Linked DNA regions of Macaca fascicularis. The protein of the gene in region 1 interacts with the protein of each later gene in a biochemical or structural test. Links are inferred from orthologs where the notes say so. Each region holds a gene or a part of one and is shown in the gene's direction. Other genes may lie near its edges.

Evidence for each region. The genes of interacting proteins can lie anywhere in the genome.
Region 2: of the proteins of WNK1 (region 1) and KLHL3, one has a biochemical effect on the other in vitro, tested with the Homo sapiens proteins (2 studies listed by BioGRID). The link is inferred for Macaca fascicularis from reciprocal best matches to the Homo sapiens genes WNK1 and KLHL3.

Annotation. Positions count from the first base shown.
Region 1 is NC_088385.1:1,507,576-1,513,244, forward strand, and holds the start of WNK1 (serine/threonine-protein kinase WNK1), read left to right. Parts: upstream 1-2,084; 5' UTR 2,085-3,031; coding exon 3,032-3,790; intron 3,791-5,669. UniProt on the Homo sapiens protein: Serine/threonine-protein kinase component of the WNK1-SPAK/OSR1 kinase cascade, which acts as a key regulator of blood pressure and regulatory volume increase by promoting ion influx.
Region 2 is NC_088380.1:144,214,747-144,220,099, reverse strand, and holds the start of KLHL3 (kelch-like protein 3), read left to right. Parts: upstream 1-1,735; 5' UTR 1,736-2,181; coding exon 2,182-2,195; intron 2,196-5,353. UniProt on the Homo sapiens protein: Substrate-specific adapter of a BCR (BTB-CUL3-RBX1) E3 ubiquitin ligase complex that acts as a regulator of ion transport in the distal nephron.

The DNA of each region.
Region 1 (5,669 bases):
AATTAAATTACTTACAATGAATTTAGTTGTTCCTGGTTGAAAAGACATGTTGATAGGGCATGGTGATTATCAAGGGACTTGTGTCCAATGCAGTGTGGCCAAAGTTTCAGGGCTCAGTAAACAGGAACAGGCAATAATAAAATCCTTTAATAACCACTCACACAAAAATATCCTAATTTTTTTATGGTGCCAAAAGGGAACATTGTGATTTACTGATCTTCTTTTAACTTGCCAATTTGTAATTAGCTGCCTTATGTTTAAAATCAGACTATTTTTCCTCCTGAAGCAACAATTGGGCAAGTTTTATTTGACTCAAGAAGTATAATAAAAATGTATTTTACGGCCATTTCTTCCCTTGCTTACAGTAGGTTTACGGTTAGAAATACACTCTTAATTCCATTTACCATAATGAGATTATTTACCATTACCAGCAGCAAACGAATGAAAGATACATTTTCTAGAGCAATGGAACACTAATATTTTAGTACTCTAGTTGTCCCTACTGAATTGGCATTTTAAAATGTTCACAACCTGTCAGCTTCATGAAACCTCACAATCATTGGCTTCAAACATTGTTGTAAACTCGAAAGGGTAGCTTGTGATAAACAACAACAAAAAGAGAAAGAAAACAGCATTAACCATTTTACGGATCAGATGAATTAACATGAACTGCACGGCAAGAATTCTGCAGGTGGAGCTCATCCGAGAACTGTGCTAAGGAACCTCCTGCCGAGTTCCTCGCTGGCTGCTCGCTCGCAGCGTGGTCCTCGGCCCGGGACGCGCGCTTCCGAGCTGGTTCCGCAGCGGGCGCCCAAGAGAGGCGGCCGCGCCCGGACGCTCTGATGCGGTTGCGTACGTTTTCCGCGCTTCCCGCTCTCCACCGGTTGGACCGAGGCTTTTAAACTGCCATCTGCTCCCGAGTCCGGCCTCCTACTCCGTCTGGTGCCCCCTGGTGCTCGTCCCCTCCGCATCTTGAGGAGCTGCGAGGAGCACAGGGGTCCAGGGAGACAAGGATGCTTTCAAGAAAAACATGCCATGGCGCCGAGCCGCAGGGATCCACGTTTCCCGGGCCCAGGGCCCTGGTAGACGTTGCATGTGGACACTGAGGAGCTCTGGAGAAAGAGGGGGTGTTGTTTCACGGAGCCACCCAGCAGAAGAAAGGTGGAAAATAAGTTTCAACCAACTACAAAGGCAGAAGTCAGCCCAGCCCCCCCAAGTGTGGCCAAAGACCCATAGATCCGTAGACCTTATCTTTTCTTGAATCCACCGCTCCCCCAACCCCGCTTTTATTATCTTTCAGGCAAAGCCAAGAGGGAGTTCACTAGGATCCCCCATTTCAGTCAGGCAGCCCTTTTTTGAGAGCCGGAATATCCGTGTCGGGCGGGAGCTGAGAATGTGGCCTTAATTGTTGAGGGGAGGAGGATGGAAGATAATCCTGTCTCCTCCTCCAATCCATTTAATCAATATTAATTTCATGCACCATCTTCACAAAGTTTCTTTTCCCCTCCTCCGACTCAGAACTCAGGCTCCGGTTATCCGGCTTTACCCTTCCCCTCCACCCCCACAGCCCTGCAGTCACTCAACACTACTGCGGCTCTCTCCATTAAAGATGAACAACAGATCATTTTTCATTGCATGGCAACCCTAAGAGCTCTCTCGCTTAGCAGAGCATGATGGGAGTCTTTCCATCTCCCCCCCACCTTCCTCTTTTTTTTTTTTCCCTTCCTTCCCTTCTTCCACAATTAATCCCTAAATAATGATTTTCCTAAGCTCGCGCGGACTTCAGGATGGGGTTGAGCGACCCGCGATGACGCTCCCATCAGCCTTTCAGAAGGGACGGTTTCTAAAGAAAACTACAACTCCCACGAGGCATCAGGCTACAGCAACCGCGAGGCATCACGGAAGTCGTAGGCACTTTTCTCCTAGGTCCCGTTCATCTCCTCCAACCCGTAAACTATAAGTCCCAAGGTGCCTCGGGGCTGGCACGCCTGCGCAAAACCCCGGAGCGAGGTGGGGGGTGGGGCTGCCCCGGGCGGCGGGGGGCGGGATCCGAGCGGGCTGTGTGGAGGCTTCAGACTCCCGGCGCCATTTAGCGCAGAGAGTTTCCCGGGCGGACGCGGCTCCTCTCTCGGCCCCTCCGCACCCCCGTCTTCGGTGACAGAAGGCGCCTGGTGGGGGTGACTGCTCTTTTCTCTCCCTGTTCCCCCTCACCCAGTCCTCTAGGTCTCCTCTCCTCTTGCCTCAGAGAAGCAGCGGAGCTCGGGCCCCGCGGTGAGCGGCCCTCCCCTCCCCGCCGTTCCCTCCGCCGTCAGCCCCCGGCACCGGCCCGGGAGGAGGCGGGTTCGCCAGGCCCGGGGCGGGCGGGGAGGCCTCGGGGAAGGGGGGGCCCGCTCCTCAGGCGCCGAGGCTCCGAGGCTCCGGCCCTTCGCCCCGGGGCGATGGGCGACCAGTGAGGCCGGTCCCCATCGCGGGGGGCGCGTGTGGGAGGCGGCGGCCGCCGAGTGACCGGAGCCGGGCCGCGGCCTTCCTCGCTCGCCTCGGCCCCTCCCACTCCCTGCCCCGGGGCTGCCACCGCCCGGGCGTCGGAGCTGGTCCCGTGCTCGCGGCGCCGCCGCCCTCTGGGCCTAGCCCGCCCGGCTCGGCGAGCGGGGCAGTGGGAGCCGCGTCCGCCGCATCCGCCTCGACTCGGTGCCGGCCCCGGGCCCTCCCCTCATGACTGCGGCGCCTCCGCTGCCGCCGCCCGCCCGGCCGCCGCTCGCCGCAGGATGGATGCGGACCGTGCGGCGCTAACCCCCGCGGCTCCGCTCCCGACTCGCCCGCCTTCGAGCCCTCCTCGCGAGCCGCAGCAGTCTCGGTGCCAGCGGCCCGCCTCGCCCTCGCTGCGGCTGGTCAGTGCTGAGTGAGGCGTCTCCGGGTCGGCGCGAACCCGCCCGGCCGCGGTGCCCTGCAGACCTCCGCGCGGGCGGCTCGGCCCTCACGCCCTTTCCATCCGCGACTCCGAGCCCGCTCGCCTCTCGCCAGCGAACCGACCATGTCTGGCGGCGCCGCGGAGAAGCAGAGCAGCACTCCCGGCTCCCTGTTCCTCTCGCCGCCGGCTCCTGCCCCCAAGAATGGCTCCAGCTCCGATTCCTCCGTGGGGGAGAAACTGGGGGCCGCGGCCGCCGACGCCGGGACCGGCAGGACTGAGGAGTACCGGCGCCGCCGCCACACGATGGACAAGGACAGCCGCGGGGCGGCCGCGACCACCACCACCACCGAGCACCGCTTCTTCCGCCGGAGTGTCATCTGCGACTCCAATGCCACTGCGTTGGAGCTCCCCGGCCTCCCTCTTGCCCTCCCCCAGCCCGGCATCCCCGCGGTTGTCCCGCAGAGTGCCCCACCGGAGCCCCACCGGGAAGAGACCGTGGCCGCCACCGCCGCTTCTCAGGTAGCCCAGCAGCCTCCAGCCGCTGCCGCCCCTGGGGAACAGGCCGTCGCGGGCCCTGCCCCCTCGACTGTCCCCAGCAGTACCAGCAAAGACCGCCCAGTGTCCCAGCCTAGCCTTGTGGGGAGCAAAGAGGAGCCGCCGCCAGCGAGAAGTGGCAGCGGCGGCGGCAGCGCCAAGGAGCCGCAGGAGGAACGGAGCCAGCAGCAGGATGATATCGAAGAGCTGGAGACCAAGGCCGTGGGAATGTCTAACGATGGCCGCTTTCTCAAGTTTGACATCGAAATCGGCAGAGGCTCCTTTAAGACGGTCTACAAAGGTCTGGACACTGAAACCACTGTGGAAGTCGCCTGGTGTGAACTGCAGGTAAAGCCCCACCTACTTCTTTATTTGAAGGTCCTCTGGATCCCAAATTTGGCTTGGCGAAGCCAGTTGATGGAGTTCACCCTTCACTTGGCATTCTCTAACTGTTGGACTCCGAGTGGGAGGGGGAGGTCAACTTTTGAAAGGGGTTGAAATTAGGAGAATGTGGAGCATGTGCCTCGGTGTTGGGATAGGATAAGAATTACTGGTAGCCAGAGGGATTTGCTACCGGGCAGGGGTGGTGAAGGTCATCTTAGTATAAACGAATTGTCTCCTGGTTTAGTGTCTGGCAAGGAACTTGGAATGAGGGGGGAAGTTGAAAGTACAGATGCTTCTTCCTCTGTGCGTTTCAGTCTCATCAGAGGCTCTGCAGTGATGAGCTGCCTCTGGGCGTAGAAGCGTGTTTCCATTCCTGAGATCAGGCTGTTCTTTTTAAATGAGAACGACCTTGTACTTTTGGATATATCTTACTTGATGGTTGCACAGGCATTTAGTATAAAATAAGTATTAAAAAAAGACTCTTCTCTGCCCCTTTTGGATGAATGCCTTGGCCGTAGTGACGTGCAAATAAATGTTTGATGTTGTTCTACCTAATGATGCTTAAGCCTTACAGTAGCAGCATTGCTCTGACATTGTTCGTTAAACTAACGTCTTTCAGCCCATTCACTATACAGCGAATAGTACAGGAGCCCATGCAAAATTGTGTAAGTGCTTTGAGAGTTGTAATGTCATCATCATTATTTTAATCTTATAAAATATTTTTAAGCTAAACTTTCCCAAGAGTCCAAAGGAGTCGCAATACTTCCTTTTTTAACCTCTAGTGGTGTAAATAATGGTGTGTCATTCTGGTTGACTAGTACATTCTAGGTTTAAACAGCTGAGTTTGCGCTACTTGTTGCTTGACTAACTGAAGCAGCTTGCTTGAATGTTGCCCTGACTGGGCATAGGTGAACATAGGTTATTAGTAGGAGCAGGGTTATACTGAAGGAAAAAAGTCAGCCACATTATGCATACATAAAAAAATGTCATTAGACCAGCCTGATACAGGATATGAAAATAACTGAATGATCTTGGAACTTGTTTTATCCATGAACTAATATGTTAACATGTAACCCTTTGAATGTCAGGTTCCAAATAATTAAGGCCATATCAAATGTGAAATTAACACAGCATGTGGAAGTAAACTTAAAAACTAAGAAGTTCTTTACAAACATAATCATTTCTTAACTTTTACAGTTAATGATGTAGAACTTCTAAGGTAGTGTGAAATTAAAAGTACTCATTAATTTTATAGTATTTTAGAATTGGAAAGGTGACAGATCTTAAAAAAAAAAACAACAACGAAAACTATTCCTTTTCGTCAGTCATACTCAAAAAACTTAGTCTGGGCCAGGCGCGGTGGCTCACGCCTGTAATTCCAGCACTTTGGGAAGCCAAGGCGGGTGGATCACGAGGTCAGGAGTTTGAGACCAGCCTGACCAACATAGCGAAACCCCGACTGTACTAAAAATACAAAAATTAGCCGGGTATGGTGGCACGCGCCTGTAATCCCAATACTTGGGAGGCTGAGGCAGGATAATAGCTTGAACCCGAGAGGCGGAGGTTGCAGTGAGTGGAGATCACACCATTGCACTGCAGCATGGTGACAGAGCGAGATTCTGTCTCAAAAACAAAAACAACTTATGTCTGATTCCTTTTGGTTTACAGGCAGAAATTTACAGAATTTACATTTCTTTCTTGTACTTTCGACGCCTATTGCTACTGATGCTGGAATTTTATTCTTCCATTATAGTTCTATATTTGAATAGGTGCTTTTTAACAATTTTTTTTTTCCTTAACCGGTTACCTTACTTTTTTGAGACTGGACCCAATTACTTGTTGA
Region 2 (5,353 bases), on another chromosome or scaffold:
CCTTTTATGAATCACCCAGTTGTCTTCCTGGTGGATGTCTGAACTCTGGCATGGATTCCAAGATTCAATTTCCTTATTTGTGATGTTCAGTTTTTTGTGGTCCCTGTGATTGACCTCAAGAGGAAATATCTGGAGCAGGGCCACAAGGCTGATTAGAGGAGGAAGGGACATAGAGGGAACAAGATAGGAGGGGTATTGTTGTGAAAGGAAGAAGTGAAGATACAGCCCTGTGGGGTGTAAATGAAATTATCCAGGCCTCTTCTCACTTGAGAAAGAGTGAGTTTGAGTAATGGCCTCGTCTAAGAGAACACTGAGGTGCCAGGGGAGGTAATCTTTGAGAATAACCCTGTAGCCAGTTTGAGTTCAGGAGGCTATATAAAGTATTAGTTACTTTTACTTTCTGTCACCCCAGTGTTTCTCTCTTCCTTCTGTGGTTTTAGAGCTTTGTAGTAGTGAAGACATTTATCAGGTTAAAATGATAAGAATGATAGATTTACTAAGCGTCTCTTCATACTTTCACCTACATCATGTTATCCTCCTTGAAGCCCCCTACAAAACATTAGAGCCTAGTGTTTCTTCTTAAACAATCATACAGGTTACTCTGAGAAGAAAAACAGACCATTTAAAACATTTTTAGAATCCTGTGATTTTGGAGCTGAAAGGGACTCTAAAGACTGTCTGGTCTTGACCCTATATTGTGAATGAGTAGCTGAGCATGAGGTCCAGAGTGTGGAGAACACTACTCAGGAAAGTCACTCACCCAGTGAGAGCTGGTGCAGATTCGGAAAAGCCCAGGAGTGTCTTGAGGGGTCCCGGAAGAGAGATGCTCATAGCTGATTTTTCTGAGGCATTAGGGTAGCTTCTGCACCACTTTTTGTGGCTAATTGCCCCAGTTACCTCTAAGCCTCTGTGGCTAGGATATACAGACTGGCCTCCTGCCTTCCACAAGATTATGTTTTAGTTTGGGAAAGAAGATTTATAAATAATGAATTAGCTAGGTGTGAGATGACAATACAGGACAGTATAGTTTGTAGCTATTTTGGTGGTGATTGGCTGTCATTGGTGTGATTCGGGAAGTTATGAAGACATGAGATTTTGACTAGCCTCCCAGAAAGACTAAAGGACTGGGATTGGAGAAGCCTTTCCAGGCAGGGAGAGTTAAATTAGTCTAAATAGAAGCTTAGCAGCTGGAGATTACAGGATGTGAAAGATCTTTGGCTGGATATGGGGGTTCAGTGGGAGACTTACTAGTTGGAGCCACAGCTTAAGTTAAATTCCAATATGACAGATTTTAGGAAGATATTTTAGGATTGTGCTAAGATATTTTAGTATTCATTGTGATAGCTTTACTGCAGTAGTCTTTGGCCTCTTGGAGTAAAATAGAGTTTGTTTCCGTTTCACCTATTTGTACTACCTCTCTTTTTCGACTAATTTTCCAATTTCTCTCTGTATTCTTTTAATTTCTCTCTGTGTTCTTCTCACTTCTGTCAGGTGCTTTTTCCTTAACTTCTCCCCATCTATCAGACACTCAGAGCTACTATAGAATTTGGGAGGAGGATTTGGAACATAAACTGTGACCTACAAGTGAATTTCCCCAGGTGGATGATAAACTCCACTGCAGGCCACAGAGGGGCCTCCTCATTCCAGCAATCTGGCCAGGCTGACAGACTCATAGCCTATGGGGGCAGGGGAGGGTGTAGGGGCCAGTATTTCTCCGGCTAGTGACGAACTGCCTGATTCTTTGCAGCCTAGACAGAGGAGGCAGGAGCCCCAGGGGCGGGCTAATCGCCTGGGCTGGGGATGCCTGGGCAGATGCAGAGGCAGCTGGAAAGGTGGCAGTGCACCTGGGTCGCTGGAGCTGCTGCCGTTCCTAGGAGACCAAGGAGCAGCAAGCCTGCGGGGGAGGGGGAGCAAGTGGGTTGCTGCTTTTAGCAGCTGAAAGGGCTGCAGGGAGCTCTGGGTAAGACATTTTCTGCTGCTGCTGCTTTTGCGGTAGAAGCTGCTGCGAGTAAGTCAGAGGAAGGAGGATTGAGAAGGGAGGAGGCTTCACTTGCAGCCATGCTGAATCACTGTTGCTGATCAGATCTCCCACTGGTCTGCTGGGAGAATCAAGAACAGAACTAGGATCCCCGGGTGCATGCACACAGTTCAGCGGCTACCATCCTGACTGGGCCTCACACAATGGAGGGTGAAAGGTATGTATGTATAAGTATGTGCTGTGTTGTGTGTGTATATAAGTAAATGTGTGCTTGCGGTACAGCCACCAGCTTTTGTGTTTGCATTGGCTAGGCAGGGTTGGAAAACCTGGCCACTGATGGATCTCAAAGGGCGGCAGAGCAAGAGCAGAAAAGCCGCTTTCCAAACCACCCATTCCAGGGCTTGAATCTCCAGAGATCTGGCTTCCGCAAAGGCAGGTCTGGGTTTGCTAGGCAGCGGAGCACCCTGAAAGAAGGGACTTCCTGGCTGGTGTTCGGGAATAGTTTCAGCACAGGCTGAATTAGATTGCCTTTCTCAGGCTGTTTCAAGGAGGCGTTTCCCTTTCCTGGCTACTTTCCCGGGGTGTTTTTTCTTTGGTGGGGGGTTTTTGATGTCATAGTGGGGCTGGCCTGACATAGTGTACTTGCATTTTCACGCAGGAGTGCTCGAATCTTCAGCAGGCATGCCATGCTGATGGCTGTGTGTGTGTGTGCGCGCAGGCACGCCGTGTATGCCTGTATACACACACATTCAGGGATGAAGGAGAGAAATCCAGTCAGATGACACTTGCTCTGAACTGAGTTTCATATTTGTATTGAAAAGTTTATGAGTTATACTGGAAGGTCTGTGCTTCCTCCATCAGGGATTTCTTTTGAAATACGAACCAGCAGAAAAGATTTCAAGTACTTTTGTTGAGCTGGATCTAACTAGCGAGGCAGTTAGATCCTGGCAGGCACACCCATCTAAATTTTTAAATTGTTATCTGAAGATCTGAATCTTTCATTGTGAAAGTACTCAGTGCAGTGCAGAGGTGACATTCCTCTGTCTATGAAGTAAAATATCTCTTGAGTGCCAACCTCTTCATTCTTTGGTCTGCAGTTGGTAGAGTACAGGGCTTGCCATTTTATCCGAGGAGAGAGCACTGCAGGGAGGGGTCCGGCCATGGCAGTGCACCACTGAGGGGAAGGCTGCTGCTCCAGGTTGCCAGTTTGATGCAGACAGTAACTATCTGGTTAACAATAATAGGCTCAACTAAGTCAACACTAGAGAATCTCTCAGTGAATACTTTCCTTTTCATGAGTTGTTGTGACTTCTGCGTCTCACGGGGCTCAGTGATGCCATTGAACATCTCTAGACCCTATTAGAACTGGCATGATGGTTGAGTGTCATCTCATTCTTTTGTCCGTAGAGGCCCTGGGAATTGTGTTCTTGATGACTCCCACAGGAAGAGCCTGGGACTGACTGTGCTGCTGGTGCATCGTCTTTCTGGGTGCTCTTTGTAACAGGAGTTTAGTGTTGAACTGCATGTGGCCTGCTGGGCAGCAGAACATGTGAAGGCTTGTTTCCTAGGTGTGGGGCAGAGGTGAGCAGTGTCTTTGGTCCCCCAAACAGTGTTCCATTGATCTGGTAGGTGGCAGAGAATGGGGCTGATGTGATGAAGGTTTAGAGATTCTGGGCCATGCCTATTTGCTTGATCTGTGGTGTAACTGGGGTTGAGAGATCAGTGTGAGACTACTAGCAGCGGATCAAATGGTTTGGGGCACTGTGTTCCCAGTTCTGTGTTCAGAAATGTAATGAGTCCCTGCCCCTGTCCTGGGGCCTCTCAGCTGGGATGGCTGATGTCTATGGCTTTAGAACACCAGGTTGCACATGTTCTTGTACTTTTCCTCTGCTGAAGGCAGATGGTAGACAAGAAATCCAAACCGAGCAGCTTCCAATGTTCACCAGGTCACCCAGGTCATACCTTTTGTTCCTGCCTCAAGCCCAGCTTACCATGCCAGGCATTCAAGTCTTCTGAACTCCAACTCCTGTTCCCATTCCCACTGCTCACTCATAAACCTACTAACAATTCTATTGATCTCTTTCATGATCACCCATCCTATACATTACTTCATCTAGCCTCATATCCTTAGCTCCCAGAGTTTCTTTTGCTGGATGTCTTTCCCTTCTAATTTTGCAAAAGTTATCTATCAAGGTTATTCTAAAATTCTACTTTATCTTGGAAACTCAGCTTTTCTAGTCCTGGCTGATGTTCTTCTGAATTCTAATCCCTCTAGTTTGCATCTCATAGTTGGACACTGAATAATAGGCCCATCAGATCTTTTAGTGCTTTTATTTCATATATCTTAGCAGTCCCCAAACTTGGAGACAGGTCCTCAAGGGCAAGGCTAGTACCTTGTACTTCTAAATACGCCCATTGACTACTGTGTGGGTACACAAATAGCAGGTGCTGAATAGTTATTAGCTGATTAACTAATAACCTTTGTGTGAGGCTCTGATAACTAAAAAGAAAGTTGGTGAGAGAAGAGACTGAAGCCTTTGGCCAATAGGTTCATCTTTGGATATCAGCCTTATTATCTTAGCACGGGTAACTGACTCCATGGAATGCTTTGAGGTAGGGGGGCGAACAGAGGGAAGTAGCCTTGTTTTGCAAGTTCCCTGGGAAATTGAGGTCCGGAGAAGCTGAGTGACTTGCCTAGGATCACATGTCCAACCTCCAGAGACTGGAGGGATCCTGAATCTGGTGCTTGTTCCACACTTAACCTGCTGAATCTTAATTGGGGCTGTTTTTAAGCATTACAAAATTTCAACCAAGAGATTGCTAATGAACAATTTTTTTTCTTTGCCACGAGGGTATGAAAATACTTTGTACCTTGAAAGGCTATTAATTAAAAGCATGGGCTTTGGAGTAACTTAGACCTAGTGGTGAATCTACTTTACAGTGTGACCTTGAGTGTGTCACACTCTTTTCAGAACTAATTTTTCTCTTTTGTGTAAAGGAAATAATAACAGTACTTATACTTCATAGAGCTGTTGTGAAGATTAAATGATACAATATGTGTAAGGTACCTAGTAAAGTTTTTTAGGCACTGAGTGAGTACTCAGGAGATGGTAGTTGCTATTATCATTGGTATCCACCTATTGCTATGTTGTAGCCTATACCTCGCTGCTGGGTTACTAACCAAGGCATATTTTAGGACCTCTCTCTGTTTATCATCCAAAGCAGATTAAGTAGAACCATTTCCATGAGGAAATGAGGGAGCTTATCAGGCCATCATCTTGCTTCTTACCTAAAACTATCTCCGTATAGTAAGTTCCCCCATAGGGCTTGGCATTTCTTCTTTTAGGTTTCATCAAGATCTACCTTAATCTTTCT